Diceros bicornis minor: one gene and its partners. The protein of the gene in region 1 interacts with the protein of each later gene in a biochemical or structural test. Links are inferred from orthologs where the notes say so. Each region holds a gene or a part of one and is shown in the gene's direction. Other genes may lie near its edges.

Evidence for each region.
Region 2: the proteins of UBE2I (region 1) and SUMO3 form a complex in vitro, tested with the Homo sapiens proteins (2 studies listed by BioGRID, with this or other methods). The link is inferred for Diceros bicornis minor from reciprocal best matches to the Homo sapiens genes UBE2I and SUMO3.
Region 3: of the proteins of UBE2I (region 1) and HIF1A, one has a biochemical effect on the other in vitro, tested with the Homo sapiens proteins (2 studies listed by BioGRID). The link is inferred for Diceros bicornis minor from reciprocal best matches to the Homo sapiens genes UBE2I and HIF1A.
Region 4: of the proteins of UBE2I (region 1) and ELK1, one has a biochemical effect on the other in vitro, tested with the Homo sapiens proteins (3 studies listed by BioGRID and IntAct, with this or other methods). The link is inferred for Diceros bicornis minor from reciprocal best matches to the Homo sapiens genes UBE2I and ELK1.

What each region holds. Positions count from the first base shown.
Region 1 is NC_080765.1:47,066,429-47,073,348, reverse strand, and holds the start of UBE2I (SUMO-conjugating enzyme UBC9), read left to right. Parts: upstream 1-3,920; 5' UTR 3,921-4,344; coding exon 4,345-4,384; intron 4,385-4,560; coding exon 4,561-4,637; intron 4,638-4,809; coding exon 4,810-4,893; intron 4,894-6,157; coding exon 6,158-6,230; intron 6,231-6,920. UniProt on the Homo sapiens protein: Accepts the ubiquitin-like proteins SUMO1, SUMO2, SUMO3, SUMO4 and SUMO1P1/SUMO5 from the UBLE1A-UBLE1B E1 complex and catalyzes their covalent attachment to other proteins with the help of an E3 ligase such as RANBP2, CBX4 and ZNF451.
Region 2 is NC_080766.1:44,198,735-44,205,778, reverse strand, and holds the start of SUMO3 (small ubiquitin-related modifier 3), read left to right. Parts: upstream 1-4,042; 5' UTR 4,043-4,128; coding exon 4,129-4,149; intron 4,150-7,044. UniProt on the Homo sapiens protein: Ubiquitin-like protein which can be covalently attached to target lysines either as a monomer or as a lysine-linked polymer. Does not seem to be involved in protein degradation and may function as an antagonist of ubiquitin in the degradation process.
Region 3 is NC_080763.1:11,158,464-11,166,365, forward strand, and holds the start of HIF1A (hypoxia-inducible factor 1-alpha), read left to right. Parts: upstream 1-4,887; 5' UTR 4,888-5,156; coding exon 5,157-5,191; intron 5,192-7,902.
Region 4 is NC_080781.1:41,404,317-41,412,237, reverse strand, and holds the start of ELK1 (ETS domain-containing protein Elk-1), read left to right. Parts: upstream 1-4,904; 5' UTR 4,905-5,012; intron 5,013-7,921. Other genes in the region: protein UXT, read left to right, coding at 38-105, 382-489, 3,514-3,640. UniProt on the Homo sapiens protein: Transcription factor that binds to purine-rich DNA sequences. Forms a ternary complex with SRF and the ETS and SRF motifs of the serum response element (SRE) on the promoter region of immediate early genes such as FOS and IER2.

The sequences.
Region 1 (6,920 bases):
GGGCCCTCTGCTGCCGTCGGGCCCAGCCGGGAGGGCGCCCCCTCCGCCCCCGGCCTTGCGGCCCCGACTCGCCGTCGCCGCGCGCCTGGACCCCCGCCCCGCCCCGCCCGGCAGGCCCGCGGCGCCGCGCCCGGGAGTCGGCCGGCCGGAGCAGGGAGGCCCGAGCCTGCGGCCTCGGCGGACCGCGTCCCCCCGCGCCTGGCCTGGCTCGCGTCCCGTCCCCGGATTCCCATCACTTTCCCTTTTGAAGGCGGGAGAGCGCGTGCTGGGCGGCGGCCCCGAGGGGCTCCCGGTCGCGTCCCGGAGCGCAGAGCGCCGCGGCCGCTGTTGACAGGCGCTGGGCTGGAGGGCGGCTACCGCGCCGCGGAGCCTCCACGGGGAGACTGTTTTCCGGGGTCACGGGACTGCGCGCAGACCTGTGGCGCTCTGCAGCCAGGGGACAGCGCGCGGCCCCGGTACTTGAAAGTCTTGGGTTGCAAAATCGCTGGCTCGTGGGGGGGTGGGGGTTTGATGTCTGAAAATCAAAACAAGCCTGAGTTTTCTTGCGCCTCTAAAGAGCTCCACCTGCAGTTGGTGGGACACTGAACATGGGCGCTTCGCTTCAGGGAGAGTTTTCTTTCGGAGGTTGCTTTGTACCGATTGAGCGGAGGTTGGAACTGGTAGTTACGTGAGTAGGAGGGAGGAAGGGGATGATTAGCTGGGCTCGCGATCGCGGCCTGTAGTCGCCCCGGAATCACAGTATTAGCCGGTTCGGTTTGTATAATTTGAAAATATGCTTTGTTTCTCAGTTTGGGAAGATATTGTTACTGTGTTTGCAAAGTTGGCTTTTTGTTTGTTTCCTTTTAAAGACTGTGGCCATAAATGTTTCTTGCTATTGAGGAAACACAGCCTTTGGGTTGAGAACCTATCCGACAGAAAAAGGACATGGATCCTAAGTTTGTCCTGATTTGTTTTCCGCCTTTTGGGTGGTTTAGGGGTGAATTCTGCATGCTGTTGTGCTTTTGCCCGGTGAGTCTTGTGGTTTGTGACTTTGCTTCAGAAACAGCCCAGGGTCCTGGGAATTATGTTGGGAAAGAACAAGAGATGTGCAGCTTGGACGGGAGGTCTCCTGAGTGCGAGGTGCTTGGGGCCAGGTGAAGTGAAAGCCTTCTGCTGGAATCTCCCTTGCGGAGTTTGCATTTGGGTGGGAAAGGCCCGGCTGGAGCGTGAAATCCATTATCAGTGTCACCCTGGGCAAACCTGTGAGGTCATAGTCTAGCACCCGTTTTACAGATGAGAAAGTTGAGGCTGGGGAAGATGAGCACCTTGCCATATTCATGCAGTAAGTAGCTCTGAGGTCCGTTCTGTCAGTTAGTAGAGCATGATCTGACAAGAGCAAGTTCAAGTACACCCCTCTGCCAGGCCCTGGAGGAAGGTGGAGGGCAGACTCCAGTGCTCTGCCTGAAGAACTCTAGTAGTTAGGGGATGTCTTATCTTTGTATCTTATAACTTTGCTGCTCTGAAGCATCTAGGAACACTCAACTGCTTCTTAAGTGCCTCTGTTAGTTGGGGAAGGAGTTTCCATTTCAAGTGGGATTCTGAATGAGTTGTTCTGTATTGTAATTAAAATGTAACAAATTGTCTGCTGTCTCCTGTACACCAGGAGGTGAGTGGGAGTGGAAGCATCTTGGGACCAGTCCTCTGCCTGGGACTGTGCAGGTGTGCACCTGTGGCTCTTTGTCCTGCTGACAGAACCCGTCTTGGTGATGCCAGCCCAGCTCAGACTGGGGGGCGGGGGGGTCCTTACATCTCATTTCGACAACTGCTTGTCTTGGTTACTGAACTTCTGTGTTCATTAATGCAGCAGAAGCAGCCTGCCAGCCTGTGCTGTCTGCTTTACCCTGGCTGGGGGTGAGAGGCCATTCTGTGTGTGCCCTTTCGGTGGGGGAGGCTGGGGGCAGGGGACTGGAGGACTTTGGAGGCTAGTGTGTGCTGTGCTCTCAAGCTGGGGATGGGGGTGGAGTTGGGTCATTTCATTTAGAAGAACCAGTTGAAGTGAAGGGTTTGAGAAACTTGTGGAAATGAAGGATTTTCAGACATCCAGGTTACTGCCCCAGCCTCCTGGCCTCGCGGCTAGTCATCACTGCGCACTTCTGCCCAGAGAGAGCCTTAAAGACAGGAGCTAGCTGGCGCTCTCCTCTGCCCCGGTCCTTGCAAGCTCCCCACCTCCCTGTGCAAGCCCAGGTCCTCACAGTGGCTCACCAGGCCCTCACGGTCAATGTCCAGGCGTCCTGAACCCCCTGGCCCTGCCTCTGGCCCACGGGGCCCTTCTGTTCCTGACCATCCTGCCTGGAACAGTCTCCTGCCTGATCTCTGCAGGCTGGGCTTGAGTAGCCTACCTGGCCACCATTTGAAACCAGGGTGCGTGCCTCCCCATCCCTGTGGTCCTGCTGTGGACCTCGGGCACCTGGTGTTTCCCAGGACAAGACTTCCTCTTGTGTGAGCCCCCAGGGCAGCAATGCGCGTCTTGTTCTCAGCTGCTGGCCCCGATTTTACGTAGCGGGAAGGAGTGACTATTCCAGATGGAGACGTGCTGTCCAGGGAAGGAGACCCCGGGTGGGCGTGAGCTTTGGGCAGCCCAGTCACATACCGCATGGGAGGTGGGCAGACTAGAACCCTGGGATCGAGTGGCGGTGAAGAGAAATTCTATTGGGTGCAAGCTTGATGTTATCTATTTCATACTTAATCTTGAGGTCAGGTAAGATCAGAGTCTTTGTAAAGGCGCGTTGTGGGGTCACAGTGTGGAGCTGGAGGCCGTGCCCCCAGTGGGTGCGTCTGTCACGTGTGGCCCCGGCAGCTGTGCTTCCTGACTGGAGGGCTTTGATTTTTGACCGTCACTTTTCCTTATGATGACATAAGCATGCATGTTTCTTGAAAGCGCACCACGTCTGGTTGGTCTGGCGGTTTGTGGTAACTCGCCCCACTTCCTGAGACTTGGGCTCCTGGGTGGCACGGCAATGGCGATCCCAGACCCCCTCCTTCCACTTTGCTGACTTCTCGGGAGCTGCCCAGAACCCAGAGCGCTGGCAGCCCCGAGTTCCTGACTCGGGGTGGGGGGGGCATCGGGCATGTGCATTTCTTACAAGCATCCAGGTGATGCCCCCGCCCAGGGCCACACTCAGAAGGGGCTGTACTGCAGGGTAGCAAGGCGTGGCCCGTCTGGCCTGCTGCTGACCTGTTGACTTGACCCCTCCTGCACAAACAGGGGCTGTTTGAGTTGTCTGGGGCCCAGGGCCGGGCAGCCAGGTGGGGGATGGCGGGGAGAATGGTGCGATTTGGATTGCTGAGGCAGTTGTGGGTCAGCCTGCGCCGCAGTGGGGAGGCCGCATGAGTAATCACAGGAGGGGGAGTCGGGGGCAGGGGGCGATGCAGCGGGTGTCTTCAATGTTTCCACGGACTTGGGAGATCAGCAAACACAGGGTCAGGTTCTTGGGCAAGCTTTGTGACCTCTGAAGGTCTGCTGTGCCTTGCTGGCTATCCAGCGCCCTGAGATGCTGCTTTACCTGCGGGAAGCATGAGACAGTGCAGGCTGAGGGCTTCTGGGCTGCTGATTTGAACGGCTGAAGGCGCTGAGCCTCCAGGGTCTGTAGTCGAGGGGCTCGGGGCGTGATGGGGGGAGCCCCCTCCACACGGTGCACTGGCGGGGGCGGGTGGGCCTGCCTGCTGAGGTGTCTCCCCTTCCGCCTTGTGCTCCCTGCTAGCTGGCTCCCCCTTGCGTTGACTTCCCCAAAGTAAATGGGAGACAGGCCTTGATCTGTTCGTTGTTTGTGGGGCGCCAGCAGGTCCTAGGTGGGGCTGTAGGATGTGAGAGTGGAGGGAGAAGAGGAAGGAGCCTGGGGCCCTGGTGACAAGGGGAGTCTCTTGGATGCTGGTGGGCAGGTGTGCCATCTCTGTACTTGTCCATAACTCAGTTGAACTGCTCTCTGCCCCACTGGCACATTTCCGCTGCATTGCCTTTCAAGAATAAGGGTTATTCTCCTGGCTGCGCCCAAATCTGAATTCTGAGCCCCTGATTCTGAGCTGGGGGCCTGACAGCGCCCCCACATCCCTGTACAGGCAGAGGCGAGCACGCCATCACTGCCCCTCCTGGGTCTCGGGCTAGTGCTCTGGACACCCCTACCTTGTCCCTGCTGTTTCTGCGGAGTCTGATGGTGGAATTGTAATCCCTGTTACTCTGGCCCACTGCCGCATGTGACTGAAGAGGGCAGGACAGGTGTGCAGGTGTCTGTTGGGAGTGCCCAGTGTCCCCTCCCCCGCAGCACCTAGCAGCTGTGTGGCTTCACCTCTCTGAACCTCTGTGTCACCATGAAATGGAGTCCACGGCGTGTGCCGTGGAGCCCTGGAGGTGAGATGTACACAGGGAAGGTGCCCCACATGGAGGTGTTCCAGGAGGCCTGGGTCTTGGGAGCGGCCAGCTGCTGCTTCCCTGGCTGCCGGGGGCGGGTGGGGCCAGTTGTCAGGTGAAGAGACAGGGAAGCAGGTTTGCCTTTCCTAATCGCACCCTCTGCCCATCTCTTCCAGGGACTTTGAATATGTCGGGGATCGCCCTCAGCAGACTCGCCCAAGAGAGGAAAGCTTGGAGAAAAGACCACCCATTTGTAAGGAAAGCTTTATTTCTGTGTGCAACGCAGTGGACGGGGCCTGCCCGAAGGGGCCTCCCGGACGGGGGCCGTTGCCTCCGCGCTGGCAGGCGGTGGGGCCGCAGGCTTGTCCGTGTGCGCGTAGAGTGAGGCGGCGTGGCTGATGTGCTTGTGTGGTGTTTTCTCCCAGGGTTTTGTGGCTGTCCCGACAAAAAACCCCGACGGCACGATGAACCTCATGAACTGGGAGTGTGCCATTCCAGGAAAGAAAGGGGTAAGAGGCCCGTGGCTCATGTCCTCTGCCACTTGTCGGCTTCTAGCAGCAGGACAGAGGGACAGAAGTCCTTCAGAAGGACTTGTGTTTGAGTGCATGTGACATTCCTGATGCTCATGCGAGCCCCGGGGGGATGTGAGATGGGGAACGAACGAGGGTAGGGTGACATGTAACCCCTCACGTGTGGGGAGGTGCCCCACCAGCTGCATCTCGGGAGCAGAAGGAGCCTTGGAGGTGGGATGGAGACTGGTCTGGAGGAGCCCGAGGGCCTTCGGGCTTGTCCTGCCGGACCTGCTGGGGCTGCAGCTGCCCAGACATAGTGATGCTCCTTCTGGGGCGTCTCTGAGCCTGGGGCAGCTGCAGATCCTGTGATGCAGAGGCCAGGCATCAGCCACTGGAGAGGGCTGCGTGGGCCCCTGCATGTCCTTCACACACTGGCCAGTCCTCCCTGTGGGGCTGCCTCCTCGGCTCCCCTGAGTGCACCCGGCCCAGTTAGGACCCGCACGCTTGAAGCATTTGGGAGTGAGGGTCTCTGATGACCTTGCGTATAGTTCTGCCTGGGTGACTCCGGAGGAGGAGGCCCCCGAGGTGTCTGGGTTATGCTGGAGGCGTCATCACCTCCATTTCCTCCCACCCGTGGTCTGTTGTGAGATCACGAGAGCTCAGCCTCAGTGCTTCCTGATAGTGTCCCCACCCCCTGCACTAAGCCGGTGGATTAGGACTCGGCTTTGTCCGTGAGGTGACGTGGTTTGGGTTTATCCTTCGTCTGAGGTTGTTGAGCGCCCAGCACGCACCCAGCGTTTGCCGAGACCATTCCTGGCCCCTCATCTTAGGGCAAGGCAGGTGTGCTGCGGCCGTCTCCCTCCTGGGGGAGGTTGGAAAGGGGTAGTGGATGGTGGCGCTGGGAGGCTGCCCAGGGACAGGTGGGACCTGAGGGAGGGGCCTCTCAGAATGCCCCTCTAGGGGAAGGGGTACGCAGTAGAGTTCCCTCAAGTCCTCACCCTGTCCCGGGGTGGGAGGAGCCAGCCCGCCAGGGGCCCTGCCTTCTCAGAAGCCCGGCTGCTGCCCTGCCCCGCTCCAAGGAGAGCTCTTTCCGACTCAGTCTAAGGGCTCATGGAGGTCCTGACAGTCCTGTTTGTGGAACAGTTGGGCTGCTCCCCTCTCTCTGGGGTCCTCGTGGTCCTAGGGGGTGTGCAGCAAAAGCAAGCCCCTCCTCCTGGGCCTGGCCGGCAGCACATTTAATCGCAGTCTTATTTCCCAACAGACTCCATGGGAAGGAGGGTTGTTTAAACTGCGGATGCTTTTCAAAGACGATTATCCATCCTCACCACCAAAATGTAAGTAGACTGAAGTCTTTGAAAGTCAGTCTGCTGTGGCCACGTTCCAGCAGAAATCTGAAGTCCTCTTCAAAGAGCTCAGGCCTCCTGGGGTGTTGGTTATGTCACACTCTGCTCCACGTGGGGCGGCTCCAGGGCCTTTGATCCCTGTGGCTGGCTATGGATTTGAGTCTGTTTCTAGCCCCGGGGGTGCGAGGGGCATGGAACAGGCTAGTCCCAGATCCCAGCTCTAACCCACTGGGAAGCTCCTGGGCCCTTAATGTACCAGCCTAGATAGGGACGGATGTGTAAAAGCACCACCGTCTAGAACTTCACCACTCGGAGGGTTTTGTTTGCCCTGACCTGTTACCAGCCTGCCTGTTGTCTGTTAGAACTTCCCACCCAGCTCATGGCTGCATCTGCAGCCTGGAGGGAGGGTGCACATAAGCCCCCAGAGAAGGCAGCAGGGAGAAAAGGCCAAGCTGGTTTAATGTGCTACTGCCAGACTGTCCTGACGCAGTTCAGCAAACCTCAGGCGGGGCGGGGCACCAAATCCCTACCCTTTTGTAGCTGGAAATCAACATACGTTGTCCGTGGCTGGTTAATTAGATGAGTTAACATGTGCCCCAGCGCGTGGGCAACAGGCGGTGGCGTGGTGAGGCTCTGTGTGAAGGCTTGCCCTAGTGGTCAGTGATTCGGGAGGCAGAGGTA
Region 2 (7,044 bases), on another chromosome or scaffold:
ATACAATAGTTTTATTGGGTATAGAACTGTATGTAGGCATTTTCCTTCAGCACGTTGTGGATGTTATTCCATTGTCGCTTGGCTTCCATGTTTCTGTTGCAAAGTCAGATGTCTTTTTGTTTCTCCTTTCAATATCTGGCTGATATCCTCCTTGTCTTTGGTCTTCAGCAGGCTAACTGTCATATACCCAGGTGTGGCTGTCTTTGTATTTATTCTGATTTGGGTTAGCAGTTTCTTTGTAGTATGTGGTTTATTATCTTTGGTGAATTTTGAAAAATTCTCTTTCATTCTCTCTTCAAATATGGCTTCTGGCCTATTCTTTTCTCTCCTTCTGAGTCTCCATTTTACAAATATGTTAGATATTTCCACCATATTGTATATTGCTTTTAGGCCTTTTACTGTATTTTCCATACTTTTTCTCTCTCTGCTTCTGTCTAAATATTTTCTTCTGACCTATCTTCCAGTTCATAATCATCTCTTCCACTGTGTCTAATCTGTTGTTAAACCCATCTACTGAATTCATAATTTCAGAAATTGTATTTTTGTTCTCAAATTTCCATTTCTTTTTTTTTATAGATTCTAATTTTCTGCTGAAAATTTCCATCTTATTATCTATTTTCCTTAACATATTAATTATTTAAAATAATTAAAGTTACTTTAAAGTCTGTGTCCGATAATGCCAATACTCTGTCTCCTGTGGGGTTATTACTATTTCTTGGTTTTGGATCATTTGTCTCCTGGTTTTCTTTGCAAGCTTTTATTTAATTCTGGATATTGTGTATGAAGATATTTTAGTTAACTTGAGGCCCTAGATGATGCTATTTTCCTCCAGAGATTTTCTTTGCTTCAGGCTGGCAATAGGAAGGAGAACAGGTCAGCATAGCCCAATCTGGGAGTGAGCTGTTTGGAAGCTGGGTTTCAGTCTTTGTGAGGAGTGACCTATTTACACTTCAGCCTTACTCCTCTATTGTAGGTCCCAGTGCTCCATTTGAAGGTCCAGGTTATTTATCATAGCCTATCTTGTAGTAGGCCATGCTCAATTATTGTCTCCCCATCCTATGAGACTCAAAAGCTCTGCTCAGTGTCTCAACTTCTTGTCCACTGCATATATTATGGACTGCATTGTGTCTCTCTTCCTCCCTCTGTCCCACACTCCCTCCCTCCCTCTTCCTCTCCCTATATCCATGCACACACAGAGGAAAGGCCATGTGATGATACAGAGAGGTGGCAGCCCTCTACAAGCCAAGGGGAGAGCCCTCACCAGAAATCAACCCTGTTGGCACCTTGATCTTGGACTTCTAGCCTCCAGAACTGTGAGAAAATAAATGTTGTTTAAGCCATCCAGTCTGTGGTATTTTGTTATGGCAGCCCCAGCTGACTAATATAGCATACTAATCACCAAATGCCTCAGAGGGAAAAACCACTTCCCTTCTTTCTGGGATCTTCACCCCTCAAAGTCTTCTCTGTTTTAGTAGCTACCTGATATCTTCAAACAGATTTTCAAAATATTTTATACAGATTTTCTAGTTGTTCAAAACCACAATAGTTTAACAATTTGCTTTAAAAAATTCATCAACATCATATGAGCATCTTTTCCTGTTATCAACTACTCTTTTTTTTACACATTCTTTAAATAGTGATACAGCCTTTCATTATATGGACCATAGTTTCACTAATTTCTTATTGTAACACATTTAGATATTGTGTTTCATCAATTCTAAGTTACATATTTTTCACACTTCAATAGGTCTGAAACCAGGATGTGTCTTCCATCCGTAACCCATCATAGTTTAATGTGTATGTGACATACACAATATTATGCTTTATAATTGATGGTGTCTTCCAGTTGATGATGGGCATGAACACTGCCCATGTGAAGTCACACCAGAGCCAACAATCTTGGGGGATGGTTCTGATCCCCATTGTCCATCTCTGTCCTGGATGGGGCTTGTTCCTGCAGGCTCCCCTCTCCCAGAAGCACAGTTAGAGCTGGCCATTCTACCTAGGGATTCTCTGACAGAGGTGGGTCATAGTGCAGATTCCAGGATAAAAAGGACCTTGGACCTGGCTGAGATAGGAGGTTGGCTCTGACCACACCTTTCATGGGGAGACTTTGTTAACCTGTGACATGGCAGCCCCATTTTGGGGAGGCCCCTCCCCTCTCCTAAATGGTGCCTCTAGCCAAGAAAGTGAATTTTTAAGAGTCAAAGATGGTTTGTGAAATTAAGGTCCATGAAAACATGGCTCCATAGCTTTGTGATGTTAACAGGAAATGAGTGGAATCCAGCTGGCTGGGCCTTACTCAGACAGGATGGAAACGGTTCAGTCTCTTAGGGTCAAATCCAGACCCTGCTATTTCCTAGCTGCATGACTCTGTGCAGTCCACCTTCCCCCCAAACCTTCGTTTCCTAATTGGCAAAATAGGGATCATGAGGGTCCTTGCACCAGAGCGTTGTGAGGCTTGAGTGGGATGATGCAAGCTTGGCACCAGGCTTGGCACACCCTGAGTGTGAGATAAATTTCAGCTGTCACTGGTCCATTTCATCTGAAGGCATTAGGATTACAGACAGGGAGGATAGGAAGAGCCAGGGGCTTCTAAGGATGCATGCCTCAAGTAGCAAAAGGATGTCCTGACCAAGGCCCCCATTCTCCAGCACATTCCCCATGGCCGCCTGAGCACCTGTCTAGGCAGTGTTTCACCCTGGGTTTGCCCCGACAGTCAGTAGAGCACACTGGTCAAGCTCACTGACCAACTGCCCATGCTCAAATCCCAGTCATACTGCTTACCAACGCTGGGATCTCAGGCATGTAATCTAACCTCTGAGTGCCTCAAGTTCCTCACTTGTAGAATCGGTTATTGTGAGGACTAGGTGCGGAGTCCTGGCATCTGGTGCAGTGTGCACTCCAGAAACGTTAGCAAAACGGTCACAGGAGGGCCTCCTGCATCTGTCCCACCATCTTCCCCAAGGGTTCAGCTTCCACTAGCCAGGTTCGGAAGGCCAAACGGGACTAGACAAGGGGAGAAAAGGGAGCTGCAGAGAGTGAAGCCTGGCTAAGCTCAGAGTGAGAAGTGGACAGAAAGACATTCCACATCTCTGGTCCCTGTCTTAGGTCTCTGTCCCCCTGGAGCTCTGGGTGAAGGAGGGCAGACTGGAGTTTGTGTGGGCTTGTGAAATGAACAAATGCGATGTGTCCTTAGTGGATGGAGCTGACAGGTGGGTCAGCCTTGGAGCGCTTTCTTCCTTCACCCCACAGTTCTTCATGACCTTTGGCTCCTGCTCCTCCATGAAGGTGAATGGAGCCTTTTCGAGTAGTGGGGTGCCTCTCAAGGCACCACTCACTCACCCAGGTCCCCTTTGGCCACTGGAGGTGGTTCACCAGACTGGCCTTATTTTCCTTTTTCGCTCTGAGAAACGCACTCTCTACACAGGAAATAAATGGGTGCGCCTGGGCTGGCTGGCTGAGCTAAAGTGGGCGAGGGACCAGGTCGGTTGGCGAGGAACCTAAGGCACTGAGGAGGCGGACAGGCTGTCCTCAGGCCCCAAGATAATGCGCCAGTCCTGGTCCCTGACCCCACAACAACCCCGGCCAAATGGCCTGGACTCTGAGCGCTCCCCAGGCCCCTCGCTGCCCAGACCTCCCCCCAGGCCCCTGTGCAACCCCCTGGGGACCTCGGTGTCCTGTATGCCACCCTGGGCCCTCGGTGCTCCAGCGCCCCCCGGGTCCTAGTGCGCCCCCGATGCCCTGTGAGCCCCCCGGTGTCCCGCGCCCCCACAGCTCTGAGAGCGCGTCTGGTGCTGTACAGGCATCCCCACCCCCGACTCCAAGCCCTCCGCGCCCCAGAGTGTCAGGACCGCCAGGTTCACGCCGGGCCCCGCCCCGTGACGCATTTCCAACGGTCAGGAACCTCGGCCCGGCCCGGCGCGCGCCCGACGCCCCGGGGGGCGCGCATCGTGCACGCGCAACGCCACGTGACCCCCTCGCCGACCAACCCGCACGCCGAGATTTGGGGGGCAAAGCGCGGTCCCGCGAGCAGTTGCGGCGGGAGAGCGGCGGGCCGAGAGCGTGACTCGCCCGCTCCGGCGCTGCCTGCTTCCCCCTCGCCGCCTCCCGCCGCCGCCCGCAGCCATGTCCGAGGAGAAGCCCAAGGTAAGGGCCAGCGGGCGCGTGCCGGTCCCGGTCCTCGGCCCCCCGCCCGCGCCGCCACCGCCCGCGCACCAGGCACCCTCCGCGGCCGGGTGCGACCTCCGGGATCAGAGCGGCGCCGGCGAGGCCTCCCCGCGCCCCGCGCCCCCCTCGGCTCCCCTCCCCCCCGCGCCTCTCGGCTCCCCTCCCCCCGCTCTGTGGCGCTCCGCCCCCGCCCCGGCTCCGCCCCCGACAGCCCAGGCTCCGCCCCGCCCTACGCCCAGGCCCCGCCCCCGCCCAGGCTCCGCCCCGACTGCCACGCCCTCCGAGCTCCGCCCCCGTGATTGCCCGGGCCCCGCCCCCGGCTAGGCCCCGCCCCGTCCCGGGAGCCCCGCCCGGGATGGAATTTGGACGTGGTCTGGGGCGGGCGGGGACTTTCCTCGCAGGGAACCTCCCCTTCGCCGAGATCCCCCGCCACTACGGCGCTCTCCTAGCCGGGACCCGCCGACTCCGGGAGCCTTGCGGCGTCTGGGCCCACACTCCCCAGGAGCCCTTGCTCGGTTTCACGTCCACGCCCACCCGCGCTCGAACCCCGGGGTGCGGGGATCTCGCACGCTGCCAACCCCCTTCGCGGAGAAACGCTCCCTCGTCTTCCGTCGTTACCCCGCTCCGGGGCCTTCCAGCCTTGGCTTTACCCCCCAATCACGACTTCAACGGGAAGCCCACGTCCCCACTTTCTCTCCAGGGCCGCCCCTCCTCAGGACCCCCTCCCTCGCGGAGAGCCTCCCCCACTACAGCTCCTCCCGTCGGGACCGCGGTCCGCGGGTCCGGCCCTGGACCTGTCTGCTGAGGCGTCTCCAGGGGGCACCCTCCCCAGCCCTCATTGCGGAGCGAGAGGGCGCCGAGAGGGCGCACCTGGGGACAGGCGGCGAGGCCACCTGACCTGTCCGTGCACACTGCCAACCTTTACCGCAGCCCGTCCCGCCGCGCCCTCGGGTGTGCACCCGCCATTCTGCTCTTCCCCACGCTGTCCTCAGGTGTGCGCCCACCCCCCCCATCACTGTCCTCAGGTGTGCACCCACCCCTTCCCATCGCTGTCCTCAGGTGTGCACCCACCCCCCCATCGCTGTCCTCAGGTGCGCCCCCCTCCCCGTCGCTGTCCTCCGGTGTGCACCTGCCCCTCCTCATCTCTTCCTGGGGATTTTTGCCCACCCCTCTCCGTGGTGCCCTCTGGTGTGCCTCCACCTGTCCCCATTTGGCTCTCCTCACTCCGATGCCTTGGCTGTCAGTTCTTGGGGAGGTCCACGGTTGTAACTGCAAAAGCAAGTTCCTGAAGCTTTTTGTCTGCACCGTTGGGGTCTGTTGTTTTGACCAAATGGAAGATCTGCTGTTGAGTTGAATGCTTTGCACATAGGCTTCCTCTGATACCAGCCTGGTGCTGGAGATTGCACCCCCTCCACAGCTGAGACTGCGGCCTGGCGTGTCCCCAGTGCACGCAGGTGGCAGAGCTGGGGTTGGGGTGGACCTGCACGGAGCCCGTGGTCTGGAGGGAGAGTGGAAGCCTGCACTCTGCCCGCTGTGTTTTGAGAAAAGGTCACACCCCAGGAAAGCCTCCAGATGCAGATGGAGCCGCCATGGCTTTTTACATTTTGGTGCCAACTCAGCTTTTTATACCACTCCTCCAGGCCAAAGGTAAATGCTTGCCTTTGTTTTTCTGGGTGGCTTCCTCTTACTGAAGTTTAAATACAATGAAATACATATGATACTCATTTCTTCAGTGTGTGTAAACTTAACTCTCCCATGTCTTCAACATCCATGGTCCAATTCAGTTGAATAAACTTGTTTGAACTGCTTCCAAAACGACTAAATGGTTGTGCCTCACTCACACCTCATTCTTGCCTACCGTGCCCTCGGTGCCTGCTGGCTCTCGTGCTGCTCTCTCCTCTGGGCCTGGAGAGGAGGGGTAGGAGACTCACTCCCAAGCTGTCCTGGGGGTGGAAAGAAAACCTTGTGGGTCGATTCGGAAAACAGTTTCTGCCCCCTCTGGATAGGCGGGGGATTGACGGTAGTGAATTGTGGTCATTGTTTTCAGGGTTTCTTTTATTTCTTTTACTCTTTGTTTATTAGGAATTCACCAGGGGTCTCGGACAGGCTGCTCATTCTTGGTTTCCCTCTGTTAGAGGGGAGAGGTGCCTGGCGCCTTCTCCGCCTGCACCAGTCTCCCCAGGAAGCCAGGGCACCCAGTGGCCCTGTGAGGCTCTCCTGCTGCCTTCCGCTGCCTGGTCTGCAGCCCCTGCCCTGTGGTTCTGTTTGTTCTGTGTTCTGGCCCCTGCATCTGTTTGTTTTGAACACATCCATATCTTTTCTTTAAAAAAGCAAATGTGTCCTCTATCTAAATGCAAAAGAATGAAGTTGGATCCTTCTTAACACCACATACAAAAATTAACTCAAAATGGATCAAGGACCTAAATGTAAGACCCAAAACAGTAATATTCCTAAGAGAAAACAGGACAAAAGCTGTACGACATGGGATTTGGCAATGATTTCTTAGATATGACACCAGAGGCAACAACAAAAATAGACAAATTGGACTTCATGAAAATTTAAAAATTTTGTGCGTCAAAAGACACTATGAACAGAATCAAAAGGCAGCCACAGAAGGGGAGAAGATATTTGCAAATCGCACATCTGATAAGGGGTTAATATTCAGAATATATAGAGAACTCCTACAACTTAATGACAACAATTAAAAAAAACAAGCTAACTAATTCAAAAATGGGCAGAGGACTTGAACAGACCTTTTTACAGAGAAGACATAGAAATGGCCAAAGGAACATGAAAAGATGCTCAAAACGTCAGTAATCATTAGAGAAGCGCAATTCGCAACTACAGTGAGACACCGCCTCACACCTACTGGGA
Region 3 (7,902 bases), on another chromosome or scaffold:
CAGTCTACTGATGAGCCCATCAAAAGCATTCTTCATGTCTGTTACATTGTTTTTTATTTCTAGCATTTTCTTTGGATTCTTCCTTAGAGTTTCCATATCTCTACTTACATTACCCATCTATTCTTCCACATTGTTCATTTTTTCCATTAGAGCCCTTAGCATATTAATCATAGTTATTTTAAATTCCTGGTCTGATAATTCTAAAATCTCTGCCATATCTGAGTCTGGTTCTGATGTTTGGTTTATTTCTTCAGATTGTGTTTTTGCCTTTTATTTTTTCAGAGGGGAAGAAAAGATCTTAGGAAACACTTCTCCACAGGTGAGCAGTATCTCAGCCAGGGATGGCAAATAGGTCTCAACACTTATACCGGCTGCTGGGGGAATCTTGAGAAATGAGGATATACCGGGGAGTAGTGGGAAACACTCTGAAGCAGGTTAACGTACCTACCATGGGGGCAGAAGGGTGATGGTGTGCCATTCACTTGCCATCTCTGTTCTAAGTCATAACGTGATTCAGAAGTACTTAACACTCTTCATGAACCTATTTAGCTGAGTGATTAGGTTAATGGCTGAAAGAGCGGACTGGTGTGGAAGATGAAGGGACTGCAGGATAATGAATTAGCTTCAAGGAAATACAGCAAGAAGCAAAAGCTCAACCATCCATCATCTTAGTCCGCTGCCCCCTCAGCTGGCTGGAGATGGGGCACAGTACCCCAAGCCCATGCTTTTTGCCTTTTAGCATGTCTTGTAATTTTTTTTGTTGAAAGCCAGACATGCTGTATCAGGTAAAAGGAACTTAGGAAGATAGGCCTTTACTATGAAGTTTTGTTTATCTGGCTAGGTGTTAGGCTGTGTTATTGTTTGCTGTAGCTGTGGTATCTAAGCTAAACTTTCCTCTAGGGTCCTTGTTTTTGTTTCTTTTGTTGTCTTTGGATGTCCCTAGTGACTCTTTAAATAGGGTCTGAGGCTTGCAGTTCCTTTAGCTGTAATCCCCCGTTATTATGTAGGAGCCCTACTGATGTGGTGTTCTGGTGAGGTGCGGGAGGAGGGGAAGCATTCTATAGTCTTATAATTATGTCTCAGTCTTCTAGCGAGCCTGAGTTGAGCATTTCCCTTCTCCCATGTTGAAGGCTATAGGGGGCTGGAATTGAGTGTTTTCCTTCCCCAAGGTGGGTTAGGCTCCGGTAAAATAGTTTCCCTTGAGGGCAGACCTGGTTCAGAAAAAGAGAGAGCTCTGGGAGTATTTCAAAAGGGTTAATTTTCCTTTCCCCCTGCAAAAAGCAAGAGGAGACGCTTCTCACATCTTCACAGTAAGACTCTGTTAGGGCTCCTAGAAGTAAAACTCAGGAAAGTTCTAGGGCCCCTCTACGGCTGAGCCCCCTTGGAGTTTTTAACTCTCAAGCTGGTCCAAACAGAGCCTCCAGCAATTCCTCAATTATAGTTGAATGCGTTCCTATTGATATTGGCTCCAACTGTGCTGTTGGCTTCAGCTGCTGGCTTTGGCTCCTGGTCAACTGTGATCCTTTGGTAAGCTGTGCTTCTTTATATCTGTCTGTCTCTCTAGTTTTCAGGTAGGAGTTTGTCCTGTGACCTCAGTTCTCTGATAGATTTAAGAAGAGTTGTTGGTTTTCAGTTTGTTCAGCTTTTTTCCTTATTGTAAGGATGGGAGCTCCCAAGCTCTTTGCATGTTGGACTAGAGACTGAAAATCTTTTGGCATTCCTTTGTAAATTTACTCTTAAAATGTCTATTATAATGGAAAAATGCTAGTGTCAAATTTTCAGTCTATTCTTATTCTCCAGAAACTCAGACAAATATACATATTTTGTTTTGATTTTTGAAAAAAGATTTTTAATGTCTATTCTAAGAACTTTCCAGACGATTGCTTTTTGTTGTTGTTGTTGTACAACAACAATAGGTTGTTGACAATAGGTCAAGGTGGTGGTGGAGGGACTAAGGGTACTAAAAGATCAAGAATCACTTATTGACCACCAGGTGTTCTTATATAGTTTGATACATTCTAAATTATCTGTTTCTGATGTGTTTCACTCTTTAAAAGGCTCAATGTTCTATACTATTTAGTAGTAATCCAAATTTCAAGTTTTATCTTGCTTCCTCCTGACTCACTGCCCAACTTCCTACTAAATATGGGTTAAGGGTCAATTGAGTCATTTGCAATAATCTTTCAGTCTACTTGCAAAGTTCTGCAAAGTGAGTTGGAATGAAATTTGAACACTTACAAAGATTAGAAGGCGATTGAATGAGACTCTTCATTAAGATTTATGTTCATTGTAATAACCTAAATGCATTTATTAATAGGTGGTTGTAAAGAGGATGATTTACAATTTTATCCCATAGAAAATTTTGTTTTTCAGAATTCTGTTATTTAACAGGATTGATTGAATTAAGGAATACTATTTGGCTCCTTCGTAATTATATGAAAACAAGCTGGTTGAATATTACCACTTTCCGTGTTCATATATGTATGTGTGTGTATACACATTTATACATACATATGTATACATATACACATAAAATACCATATTTTATACATTTCTGGAAAGGAAAATTGAACTTTGGGGTAAATTTAATGAACGTTCAAAAATATATTTTGCTGTTTGAATTATCCTTCTACTTTAAACTTTTGAAATGCTCAAAATTTTTTAAAAAATGACTTAGATTTGCTATTACAAAATGCTCATTTTTTAAATGTAACAAACACTAAAACAGAGAGAATTTCTTACAAGTAAATGACAAAGGAAATGATTGAAGATTTCTGCAACTGTGCTTGTGTAGGAGGGTGGGAACACCGTGGGCAGTTCCAAAGTTTAAAATAGGGAATATATGTGGATGTATATGAACATAATTGACATTTTTGGATAGCTAAAACTAGCTAACCTGTGGCAGAAGCCCAAGTAATTACTGCTAGCAGAGGCACAAATTTGGGGGTAATAATGATAAGAATAATGAAAACAAGACCACCAACAATACTAATGGCTAACAATTATTGATTGCTTACTATGTGTCAGGTATTGTTCTAAGTGCTTTACATGTACTATCTCATTTAATCATCCCATAATTCTGTGGCATAGACACAAGTGAGTAAACTGAAGCACAGAGAGGTTAAATGAATTAGTAAGTGTCAGAGCCTGTATTGCAAGCTCACTTTTGACTCTGGCACCAGTGTTCTTAACACTGAGTTTTCAGAATGTTAAACTAAAAGGTTTGTAATTTACGTTTATTCTTTCCACAATTAAAAAAGAAAACATGAGTAATTATTTTCGGTCCTTTCCTCTTTTCAGGCATTTTCTCCAGTACTTTTCAAGAATACATATCATTCAGCATTGTAGATCTGAAGAAAAAGTAGCATTAAGATCACTCTTTAACCATATCTTTATGGGTCTACAGACCAGTTACAGAGAGGTGCTATGTGAATCCGTTGTTGTCTTCTCAGAGTTTAATGCTATGTTATACAGACCATTGTGTTCACACACCAATATAATTGAAACCTACTACAGATATCCACATTAATTAATACACAACCCAAAGCCACATTGTAACAATATAACTAATAATGCAAAGGTGAGAAGCAAAATACTGTAATCTAGTGTCAAGTGGAGATATATGTGCAATGCTTCTTTGTTGAGCTCAAAACACATTCTTTATTCATTTAAAAGACTGACAGTCTTGAAATGTATGCTTCCAAAGCCAAAAAGTGATTGTCTTATCCAGCAGCTTGCAAAGTCATGTTAGCAAACAAGCAATACTGGCCGCCACCATAAAGTGTTAACTCGGGTTCAGCGTTCCCCTGCCCAGGTCTCAGCGAGGGGTTTGAAGAATCCTTCCTCTTTCCAGTCTACACAGTGAACTCAATTCAAGGTGGTAAGTCTCAATCAAGGGTCATCTTCCCCTTTTTTCCCATCCTTCTAAGATTATTTTCGGCTCTTTTAGAAGCAACAGGAAAGTAAAATAAAAGCCTATCTAAAGCTGTTTTTCCTACTCTTCCTCTGAAATTCAGGTTTATGCTCTTTTATTAAAGCCACTTATACCTATTTGTAAATGCTTAAAATAATTTCATATTTTAAGATTTCCTGCTACCTGCTTCCCTTGAGAGGTTTACAGCAAGAGGAGTTTGTTTATCTTTTTATTTGCATTTGTTCAGTAATCAAACTTCACAGAACAACTTAGTGGACAAGGAGGGTACTCTTGTGTTCTATGGCAGAATGTGGTCGGTGACATGGCCCGTGGCTGGGCGACCTGGCAAGAAAGACCCCATTGTAACACATCTGGGCAAAGGAACCAGAGTTCGCTGCCACGACGCGAAAAGTCTGTTTTTTTGAACTAGGACTCAGCAGAGCTGGCGGCAACCCTGTACAGCATAGCCGCCGAGGAAAAAGAGAGCAGGAGACTTGCCGCACCGAGCAGGAAACGTGATGCAGGCTTGGGACCCAGAAACCGAAATCTCTTCTCAGCAGCGCCTCCCAAAGCCAGCCACTGCCTTCCCAGGGAGAAGGCGCAGAGTCCCCAGACCCACGCTGGCCGCGCCCCCAGCTCTTCTCTTCCCTCCGCCGCTGCACACAGACGAGCACGTGAGCGCCGCGGCGCTTCCCAGCTGTGTCTCAGCTGACCGCCTCCTGATTGGCTGAGAGAGACGTGGGCTGGGGTGGGGACTGGCCGCCTGCGTCGTTCGCCATTGGCTCTCAAGGAACCCGCCTCCCCCTCAGGTGAGGCGGGCTTGCGTGAGCGCGCGCCGGGCTCCGCGGTCGGGCGCGCCCCCGACACACTACCCCCCCCCCCCGCGCGTGCGCCCCCGAGCGCGCCCCCGCCTTAGCCCGCCCCCTGCCGCTGCCTCAGCTCGTCAGAGCACAGAGCCGCTTCGTCCGAGGGGACGCGAGGATCGTCCTCGCCGCCGCTTCGGCCAACGCGTCGGGGTGGGCCCTGACGAGCAGCCCGAGGAAAGGCTCTTCTGAGCCGGACCGGGACCCTTGCGACTGCAGCCCGCTCCTCCTGCCTCTCGTCTCACGGAGGGTTTCCCGCCTCGCATCCCCCACCTCCGGCCGTGCCTCGCCATCTCTCCCGCGTGTGGAGGGAGCCAGCGCTTAGGCCGGAGCGAGCCTGGGGGCCGCCGGCCGGGAGGCATCGCGGGGCCCGAGTCGCCATGGAGGGCGCCGGCGGCGCGAACGACAAGAAAAAGTAAGCCCACTCCCTCCGCCCGCCGCGCTCCCCGCCGCCGCCCCCGCCCGCCCTCCGCCGCCGTCTCGGGCTGGCGGGCGGGCCTTGCGTTCCGGGGGGGGCCGCCTTTTTGTTTCTGCCTGCTCTCGCCTCTCCTCCCTCTCCCCCGGCCCCGCCGGCCCGGCTCCCCTGGCCGCGTCGCCATCTTGTCGTGGGGGGTGGGAGACGCGTCGAAAGTGCTTTCGGGGGCCGGGGGCTGAGCCCGCCCGGCCGCCCCGCCCGGCCGCGGGGCCTCGCGCCGCCCGCCCCCCCCCCCCCCCCCCCGCCTCAGACCCCGGCTCGCCGGCGCCCGATCCGGGTGGACTTCCCCGGCCTGGAAACCCCGGGCAGAGGAGCGAGCCCGGTGGCCGCGCTGCACCCGAGCTTCCGCTCTTCCCGCCCCCATCCTCTCCGGTTCCATTGAAAACTCGGCCCCGGGGCGGACCCTGCGCGCGGGTCCGGGCTTCCCGGAGGCGCCAGGCGCTGGGCTCCTGGCCCGGGGGCTCGTGCTGCGGCCCTGCGCTGGTCCAGCGCGGCCGGGGCTTGCCTTTGTGCGTTCGGGATTTGCCGCGGTGGCCTGAAGATGCTAACTTTTGAGTTTGCACGTGCAGGTTTGGTTTTGTTTTAATGGCCTTGAAAAACTTGCCTTGACTTAGAGGGGGAGTAACGGGAATTGAGAGAAACAGCAACATTTTAAAGAGAACATCAGAATTGGATACTTGTGTTTCTATCACCTGTCAAGAAAGCCCAGACGTTATAAATGAATAGATGCCTCATTCATTCTTGAAAATATTACGGTGAAAATGTAGCGGCTGGCTAAATTTGGGCAATCGTTGTTAATGACATTGGAAAAAAGGTATGTGATCAGAGCGTATGAAATGCAGCACTAAAATGTTGCAACATTTTTAGAACTGTCTCATTTTCCTGAAGTTGAAGTATATTAAAGGGAAACCTTCAAAATATATCCGCAGTAAATAATCATCGAGTTAGAACTTAATGCAAGTTTTTAAAACACTTTTAAGTTTGCGTCTGAGTGATACATTATAGGATTAAGAATTGTGAGTCGAACCGGTGGGGTTAAGAGTGATCCCCCTCCATCCCCCCACGTACAGTTGGGTCCACTTTGGTATTTTAACCTTTGAGGAAATCATTTTAAGTAATTGAAGATTTATAGTAAGAGTTGTGGTTAGTAGACTGGCTTTACTGTTAAGTCCTTCCACTCTTCTGGGAGAGATTAACTTCCCTAATCAGTATCAGCAGAAGATAAACTTGTTTATGTTCTTGCTATTTTGTAGATCCTTTTTTGGTTCTTATTCAATAGAATGATAAGTTCTCAGTTTATGTACACCAGAGAAAGCACTTATAAAATTCAAAAAGTGAGTAAACAGGTCTAGACTTAATTCCAAGAGTTGCCAGGAATTAATTTCAATTAATTTTGCAGAACTGATTACAGTACTTTTGATGAAATGATGAGGCTGCTGTATTGTAAACCTAAGACAGATTACCTCTTTGTAGTGCCAATTTTTTGTCCTTATATGCAGAATTATACTTAATACTATGCATCAAGTTACGCACCCGTCACTTCCTTTTTATATGCAATATTGTACTTATTTCTCCTTTGCAGTTCATCAGTTGAGACTATCAAAGGCAGCTTTAATAAAAATGAATTAATTAGCTGTTGTGCATCACTCTCAATTCTAAACTAGTTCTTAGATTTTTCCAGACTCATCTGTTATTTAAGGAATTTTCTCGTTTGGAAATTTAGCAAATTTGGATCAGATTGAATCATATTTCTTGATATAGATGTTCTTATAACTGAAAAATTAAGTTAATCACTTAATAAATGGTGGCTACTCAACTTTTAGACGCTATTTGTTAGAGATGTCTGGTTTTTATCCTTTTCTAACTAATAATTTTAAAACTTTTTGAAAAGATAACTGAGAGATTGAGGGGCAGGGATTTTTTCCTTACAATTTTTCCGTTTAAATGAGCCTTCCAGAGTCCAGATTATGTAGACAAATTTGTCTTTTTTGAAGGTCTAGAAACTCAAAAGCTGAAGGATTGGAAGAAATCAGAACAGAGGATAGGTATGGTTATAAGAGATAACATAGGGCCATTCATGTTGATTCCTTAGTAGTAGGGGCTGGACTTGTTTAACAGTACACTGATACAGATTTTTAGGTTTCAAAGAAATGTCATTGGTCTGTTTCAGGTTTCAGGCCAGACTCCTTCAAAGTTTTCCAAAACAAATAATTATTGGATCATTCAAGTAAAATGTCTGAGAATGAACATTCCTTAACTTCCTTCTTTAACTTTGGTCATTAAAAGTCAAGAAGCTCTCTCATTTTCTTAGTTGGAAGAGGAGCATGCCTGGTGGTTAAGAGCATAGGATCTGGAACCAGACACTTCTGAGTTAAGAGTCCATCATTTTCACTCTGTCAGCTTTGTGAGCTTGAGTAAGTTACTGAATGCTTTCTGAGCCTATTTCATCCTTTTGAAATGAGAATCATAGCCCCCATCGTAGCAGTCGTTGTGAAGATTAAATGAGATAATGCCCAGGACCTGGTTTAGGAGTCTTGGTAACACTGTGCACTTGAAAATAGGCATCACCTGTTAAAGTTCTAGTTTAAACTTCCACAACGCTTAAAAACTTTTTTGTAAATTCTTCCAAATATTTCTTTGTTTTAGATCCT
Region 4 (7,921 bases), on another chromosome or scaffold:
ACCATTGACCCCTACCTCTTTTTCCCTGGCGCTACAGGAAGCGAAGCACTCGGAGTTATATATGCAGGTGGATTTGGGCTGTAACTTCTTTGTTGACACAGTGGTGTGAGTGTCTACCCGTCCCTCTGAGCCCACAGAGTTCAGCTCCCCCCCCTTCCTTCAGTCAACAAATGTTTTTCTGAGTATTTGCCCTGTACCAGACACCGTGCTAGGTGCTGGAGAAGTGACAGTGAATAAAATAGGACAAAATCCCTCCCTCCTTGAGCTGCAATTTGGGGAAGGTGGGGGGAGGGGAGTAAAAAAAAAATCTTAAATAAACTGTATGGTTTGCTAAACAGTGGTAAGGACTTCCCCCACTTCCTCTAACCACTGTTTCCTCAGCCCAGACACTTCCCGGATCTATGTGGCCCTTGGCTATGGTTTTTTCCTGGAGTTGACACTGGCAGAAGCTCTCAAGTTCATTGATCGTAAGAGCAATCTTCTCACAGAGTAAGTCCATTCCATGAGGATAGTGTCTACAAACACCACCATTCGCAACACCCTTCCCCCCTGCTCCATGGCTGCCTGGGATGATACTTAGGGATCCATCTCCCCTCCTCCTCAGGCCTAGGGCTGAGGAAAGTGGGGATGCAAGGCTCAGCCCCAGGTATAGCACATAATAAGCACTCAGTAAATGTTCATTCACACAAACATTTATTGGGCATCTGCTGTATGCCAGGCTCTGTGCTTGGCAGTGGGGAGGCAGCAGTGAACAAGACAGAAGGTTCCTTGAAGGCTTAAGTTATAGAAGGACTGTACTGTTATACACAAGCACAGTTTTGACCAGATCCGGGAGGTCTCACCCTTTAAATCAGTAACGATAAAACGAGTTACCTCTGACTTCGCCTCCTGCTAATTCTCCCACTCGTTCGCTCTGCTCTCACTACATTGACCTTCATGGGCATCTTTAAACACTCCCAGGATGATCCCACCTCAGGGCCACCCCACTGGCTGTTCTGCCTGCAGCACTCTCCCCAGATGCCTGCATGGCTTCCTTTCTCCTCACTCAATTGAAGTCTTGCTTAAATGTCACTTCCTCAGCGAGGCCTTCTGTAACCTAACTTTAAAATTGCAACCCCCGGTACTCCTGATTCCCCTTCCTTGTTCTACTTTTTCTTTTTTCCATAGCACTTGTGTCCTCCTCATGTTTACTGTGTAATTTACTTCTTTCTAATGTGCATTGCTTTCTTCCATTAGGCTATAAGCTTTATAGAGGGAGATATGTTGTCTATACCCCAAGTGACTAGAATAGTGCAGAGCATATAGTAGGCACTCCGTGTTTGTTGAATGAATTTAAAAAGGTATGCTGGAAACAGATTGAAGCAGATCTCTGTTGGTGGTGATGGGGAGGTAATGTGGAGGGAAAATGTGGGCTCTGGTTGAGTTTAAGGTTTTGTTAAGGGAAGGGGAATTGGGAGTGTAGATGCAAGGTTTGAAATGTAGCTCAGGAAGGCCTCCTAGAGGAAGTGACATTTGAGTCACTTGGTTGAGTGAACAAGCCATGGGGCTATCTGGGGAAGAGGATTCCTGGCAAGAGGACCAGTGTGCCTGTTGTGTTAGAGGAACTGGCAGGAGAGGCGAGCGTGGCTCGGCTGGAGTGCGGGAGGGAACGCTGAGCATTACACTTCAATTAACATCTCACAAGTGAATACCACAGATAGAAAATTCCTTCTGGGTTATATTTATCTTTATCCCTACGAATAAAGATTTCAGAGTTGTTTCTTCCAGAGTTGCCTCCCTTAGGGTTTCAGTAATTCTTTTCTTTTCTAACCTTTCCAGAGTTTCAGTGTTAGTAGACCCAAAAGAGCCTCAGACCTGCTGAGATTTCTAAATCTTAGATTTCTCAATTCTTAAGTTGTCAGTGCCTGTCTCCTTGTCTGGTCTTTTTAATATATTGACCTGGTCTATTAGTGTGATGAGAAATGTGATTGAATCTCTTATTACTTTATTATAATTAATAGGACTCCCTAGAAGTTTAATCTTTCTAGGAAATGAGGATTCGAGTCTGTGTAGCTCACTCTCCTCTTTAAAATACTTGGTGACTTGGGATACACTTTGAACTAACTTTCTTTCAGATTATTTTATGTAACCAAACAATCTGTCAGTCCTTCCTGTTCTTAGTATATTTCTTTGTTTGGGGAATGGGAGGATCAGGTCTCTGTGTATATTCTTTCCTGATTACACAGAAAGGAGTACATATCCACACTGCCTTACGTATTAAATCAGTAGCAATAAATTAAACGTATCCCTTTTGTGTTACAACTAGCATTTGGTGAACTTTCTATTTTTCTCCTTTTTTTTAAGTGTTGAACTCATAGCCTTTCATAGACTAAGCTTGTACCATTAACTAATTTTGTTCTCTTCTTTGATTTCAAATTGTCCCTTAGAAGCTGATCAAGATCATTCATCTGTTCTCTGAGGGGTACCCCTGATATTCTTGCAAGCATTCTTGCTCTCTAGCAACAACACCATGCTCCATTTGTTTCCTGTCCTTAAACGTAGACTCAACCACCTTTTGAGGACTTCAGGTTCCTTTGAGTGGAGTAGTCATTCACTTATTCATTCAGCATACATTGGGTGCCTACTATGTGCCACACACTATTTTGATTCTCCAGCCACACTGGTCTCTTTGCTGTGCCTCAGATATGCCAGGTACACTCCCACCTCAGCGCCATTGCTGCTGCCCTGTGTCTGGCACACTCATCCTCCATATAGCCACATGATTTGCTTCTTCATCTTAAGTCTTTACTCAAATGCTTCTCAGTGAAGCCATCCCTAATCACTCTAATTAGAGTTGCAGCCCCCACTCCTGCACTCCTTATCCTCTCTTAGCATTTAATTTTTTCATTGTACTTAGAACCATCTGACATACTCTATATTTTGTTCCATCATTTGTCCCTCTTAACGAGAATTTGAGCTCCATGAGGCCACGATTTTTGTTTGCTGTGTTTGCTGCTCTCTCCTCAGTACCTAAAACTACCTGGCATAGAGTAGAGATTCAAGAAATGTCTTTGAATCAGTGCAGTCCAGATGATGGCCAGGCATCTCTGCACAGAAGCAGGTCAGCTAGTAGGATGTCCTACCACCTGCTCTGGGGAAGTGATCCAAGATGGAGGTAGTTCTTGAAGTGATGAGGAATCATCATCCTCATGATCATAAGTGGGGTCCACTTCGCCCCTTGTTTCTTTTCTCCAGGCTCAGCGACAGCCTCACCAAGGACTCCATGAATATCAAGGCCCATATCCACATGTTGCTAGAGGTGAGAGCAGCTCACCCCACTCTCAGACTCTGTCTCCAAATGTTTAGGGTGGTGACTTGAGGAAGGGAGGGGACTAGAGATGGGAATGACCATCTTTCCCTCTAAACTGGAACCAAGCTGGAGCCAGGCTGGCCCTGAGGGAGGGGATGTCAGAGCAAGCCTGGGGCGGGGCCTGGACGCAGTCTCTGTTCAATCTATTCTCTCCTCTTTTTCAGGGGCTTAGAGAACTACAAGGCCTGCAGAATTTCCAAGAGAAGCCTCACCATTGACTTCTTCCTCCTTCCCCTGACATTAAAAAGCCTGAATGCCTTTGAGTCACATGGCCCTTCTTTTCCCCCTTAGCCCCCCCTTTTTGCTCAGGTGTCCTGTATCTAAAGCACAAAGTTACTAGGAGGCCCAGAGATCCAGTCTCTATGTGGAACATTTAAAGTCCCCCTGAAGTCCCACCTCCAGCCTGTTGCCTGGCAGCATTTGACACCTGACTTTCTGCTCTGCCCTCTCTTGTGTCGCCTTAGCAACCTGGGCCTCCATCTGACACTTCTATTTCTTTTCCTGAACACTACTCTTTGAATTACCATAGAGAATGGGCCGATTCAGGGTGGAGGTTTGTTCCCAAGGCAATCAGCCTTTCACTCCTGGCCCTAAGGTTTACCCCTCTCCCACACCCCAGTCATTCCTCAGGTACCTTCAATTCTTAAATTACACCCACCGCCGTCTTGGCTGCTAAATACTTCCCAGTTTCCACCAATGGGCGCAGAGCCGATCCCGCCCTCCTTGGTCCGGCCCCTATTCTAGGTTGAGTCCAGCTTCCGTCAATCAATGCAGAGCCAGGTTCCGCCCCTTTATAACTGGCTGCAGTTCGACCCTGCCCTGTTCGTAGGCATTTAGTTTCCGCCCTGAACGCTCCTTGGCGTGTCTGGCAGCTGCCCTGCCTTCCTACCTCTGCTCCGTTCTAAATTCGTGTTTTCTAGCCAATCACTATAGAGTTACCCTGCCCGCCTACGCAGAGCCCTGACCCGACCCCCCTCCCGGCGGGCTGTTACGCTTATTCTATACAAGTCCTGCTTCCGCTGAGCAGCGTGGAGTGCAGCACCGCCCGGTTGCTGTTTTGGCAGCTGTCTAGGAGTCCCTCATCCGCCAATCAGCAGGAAGCACAAGCACCCACCCCTATCCTCGGTGGCTGTCTTCCATCAATCCCATATAGGCCAATCAGTGCGAGGCAGGCGCCCCAGGAAACTAGGCAATTGCCGATTGTCTATCAGTCTTTCTTGAGCCAATCAGCGTGGAGCACAGGCCGGGCCGAGCACACCCCCTTGGAACCAAGACGGCTGTCTGCGTTCCATCACTTCCCCTTGGGCCAATCACGGCATAGCTCTGTGGGGCAGGGCCCGCCTCCCCAACCCTGTAAGCCGCGCGCTCGATCCATGGCGCTTTGGCCAATCATTGAGAGGCGGATCGTTCGGCTCCTCCTCCACGGGCCCACGTGAGTGGTGGGGAAACGCAGGGGCGGCTTCTAGGCGCCGCCGCCGCCGCCGCCGCCGCCGCCGCCGCCGCCGCCGCCGCCGCCGCCGCCGCCGCCGCCGCCGCCGCCGCCGCCGCCGCCGCCGCCGCCGCCGCCGCCGCCGCCTCGGAACCCGGGCCTGGGGGGCGGTGGGGCCGCGCATGGAGCCCCCGCCCCCCGGAGCTGCCAACATCGCTCCTGCGCTACGCACAGGTGAGCCCGGGGTCTGGAGGGTAGAGGGCCCGGTCCGTGACCCCACGTATCCTTCCCGCCCCCGCGCGAGGGATGTGGCTTGGCCCGTGGCCTGCTGGTGTTCGACTCCTCACCGCCACCACCGCGGCTGGTGGACCTGCCTGTGGCATTGTCCCCTCTCTTCGCCCCTTGTAGTGGATCTGACCGTGTCCTAACCCCTTTTCCTGTTGTATAATGGATCGGTCTGCGTGCTTATATTTCTCCCCACCCCACCTTACAGTGGACTCGTCCGTGGTCTTGCCCCCACCCCCACTTATAGGGGACCAGTCTCTGGCCTTGTCTAACTCCTTGACAGTAGGTGCGTCTGAGTGTTTGTATTTCTCCTGTCCTCAACTTTCAGGGGCCCGGTCTGTGGCCTTGTTTGTTCCACCCCTTCTGTTTCTTGTAGTGAAGCAATCCGTGGCGTTGTCCCCCCTCACCCCTCTTTAACAGTGAGTTAATGTGTGAATTTGTATTCCTGTCTCCTCCAGTGTATCAGTCCATGGCTTTATCGCACACACACCCATTTTACAGCGAATCAGTCTGCATGCTTGTATTCACATCCCCCTAGTTATCAGCCCATTGCCCTGTCCTCCCTTTTTTGTAGACTGTCACTTCAGTCCTTGGGCTTCTCCCTTCCTTTTAATAATGGCTCAGTTTAGTGCTTTTTATCTCCTTGTTTTCAGTAGCCCAGTCCATGGCCTTGGCCCGATTTCCTTCTAATCAGTCTGTGTGATAGCTTTTCTCCTCCTCCACTTTTGTGCAGGAATCGGTGTGCCTTTCTGCTCGCCTTGCTGCCAATAAATAAGATAAGCCTTCGCACCCCCACCTCGCCTTTGCAGTGGGTCTGCTCGTTGGCCTTCCTGCTGCCCATGTGCTTGCATTCCCACCTCTTGGGATACCCTCCCGTGACTCTAGTGTTTTGTAATCCCTCCTCCAGAAGGGTCAGCCTGTGTGCTTCATTTTCTCCCTCCTTTCCTTGCGGTGCATCAGTGGCCTTCCCTGCCCCGCTTCCTCCTTAATAGTGGACCAGCCTGTGTACTGGTTGAACCCAGGTCTTTATTTTTACTCTAGAACACACCCCCTCATACACACTTAACCACTAAGACATTGTGCCTTGCTACAATAAATAAATAGATTAGTGACAATGCCAATAGGAGCTAACATTTATTGAGCACCTACTATGTACCAGGCAAAGTGCTTTATATTAATGAGCCCATTTAATCCTCACCACAACCGGATGATATAGGTACTGAGGACAGTTTGGCATGGCATAGGGAGGTTAAAAACCATACTCAAAGGGGACCCAGTAAGTACCAGGTTAGGTTGCCCCTCAGAACACAGGGTAATTTTTGAGACTCCTCTCATCCCATCCCACGAGGCCCCACTCCTTAAAAACGAAATTAGTTCCCATGTCCAGGTTTTTGTTTTTGCTGTTCCCTCTGCCTGCAGAGCTGTCTCCATTCCCACCTTGTCTCAGCACCCATCCACCTCCCTTCCCAGCAGCTGTGTCACCTTAGTGATGTAACCATTTTCTCTCTGCACTTCTTTCCTCATTTGTAAAGTGAGGGAATCAGAACTAGAAGCCCCTCCAGTGTAAATAAAAATACCTGTGAGTTAATAATAAATCAACTAACCTCTCTGGCCTTACCTGCTACACCTCCCTCCCAACTCTGTTCTGGCCACACTGACCTCCTCACTCGTCCTCAAACATACCAGGCGCCTTCTAGCCTCAGGGCCTTTGCAGGCTGTTTCTTGTGCCTGGAACACTCTACCCCTGATCTCTGCATGGTTCTTTTCAGGGCTCTGTTCAGATGTCAACCTGTCCCTTCTCTGCTTGATTTGTCCCTTTGCGCTTTATCACAGTCGGACACACTGTTTACCGGTTTCTTGTCTGTCCCCATTAGGATTGGAGTCCCATGGGGGCTTACAGGTTTGTCTGCTCGTTCACTGCTGGGTCTCCATCACCTAAAAATATACCTAGTATGTAGTAGGTGCTCAATAAGAATTTATTTCATGAGTGAATGGGAAAAAATATTGTTTCAGACAAATCAGGGTTGGAGAGCAAATGGAGGTGAAGAGGGCATATGAGAGCAAGTTAAGAGGCTAGTTAGTTGGGACTGTTCATTCAACCAACAGTTACTGAGCACCTACTGAGTACCAGGCATTCTTCTAGGTGCTGGGAATATGGGAGGGAACAAAACAGAAATTCCTGCCCTTGTGGAGCAGACATTTGCTAAAAGTCGGGGAGACAGACTGTATAAATAAAACAAATAAGTAAAATTAGGTGGTATGTTAGACAAGTGCTAAGGAGGAAAAATGAAGTAGGGGAGGTAGGAATAGAGTATTGGGGTGGTGAAATCTTACACTCAGAGCAGGCCTCACTTGGAAGATGACTCTTGAATTAAGGCCTGAAGGAGCTCAGGGAGGGAGCCCTAATGTCTAGGGGAGAAGTGTACCAGGCAGAAGGCACAGCCCGTGCAAAGGCCCTGTGATGGGATTGTGCCTGGCATGTTCAAGGAACATGAAGGGGGCCAGTGTGGCTGAAGCCAAGTGGAGGGAGGGCTAGGAGGCGAGGCCATGGAGGTGACTGGAGCCAGATGGTGTCAGCCATGGTGATGCATAAGGTGGGGGGAGGGGTTTGGGGAGGGAGAAGGATGACACACTAGCTGATAGCTACCGTTTGTTGAGTGTCTCCCATGTGCCAGAGGGACTTTTCTAAGTCCTTTACATATATTGGCATTTAATCCTCACAGAAGCCTTTGAGAGTAGGTGGATTTTGAGGCTATTTTACTTCGAGAGTAAAATATCCCCATTTTATAGCTGCAGAAACAGACCCAGGGAGATGGAGTAACTTGCTCAAGGTCACACAGCTAGAACAGGGCAGAGGA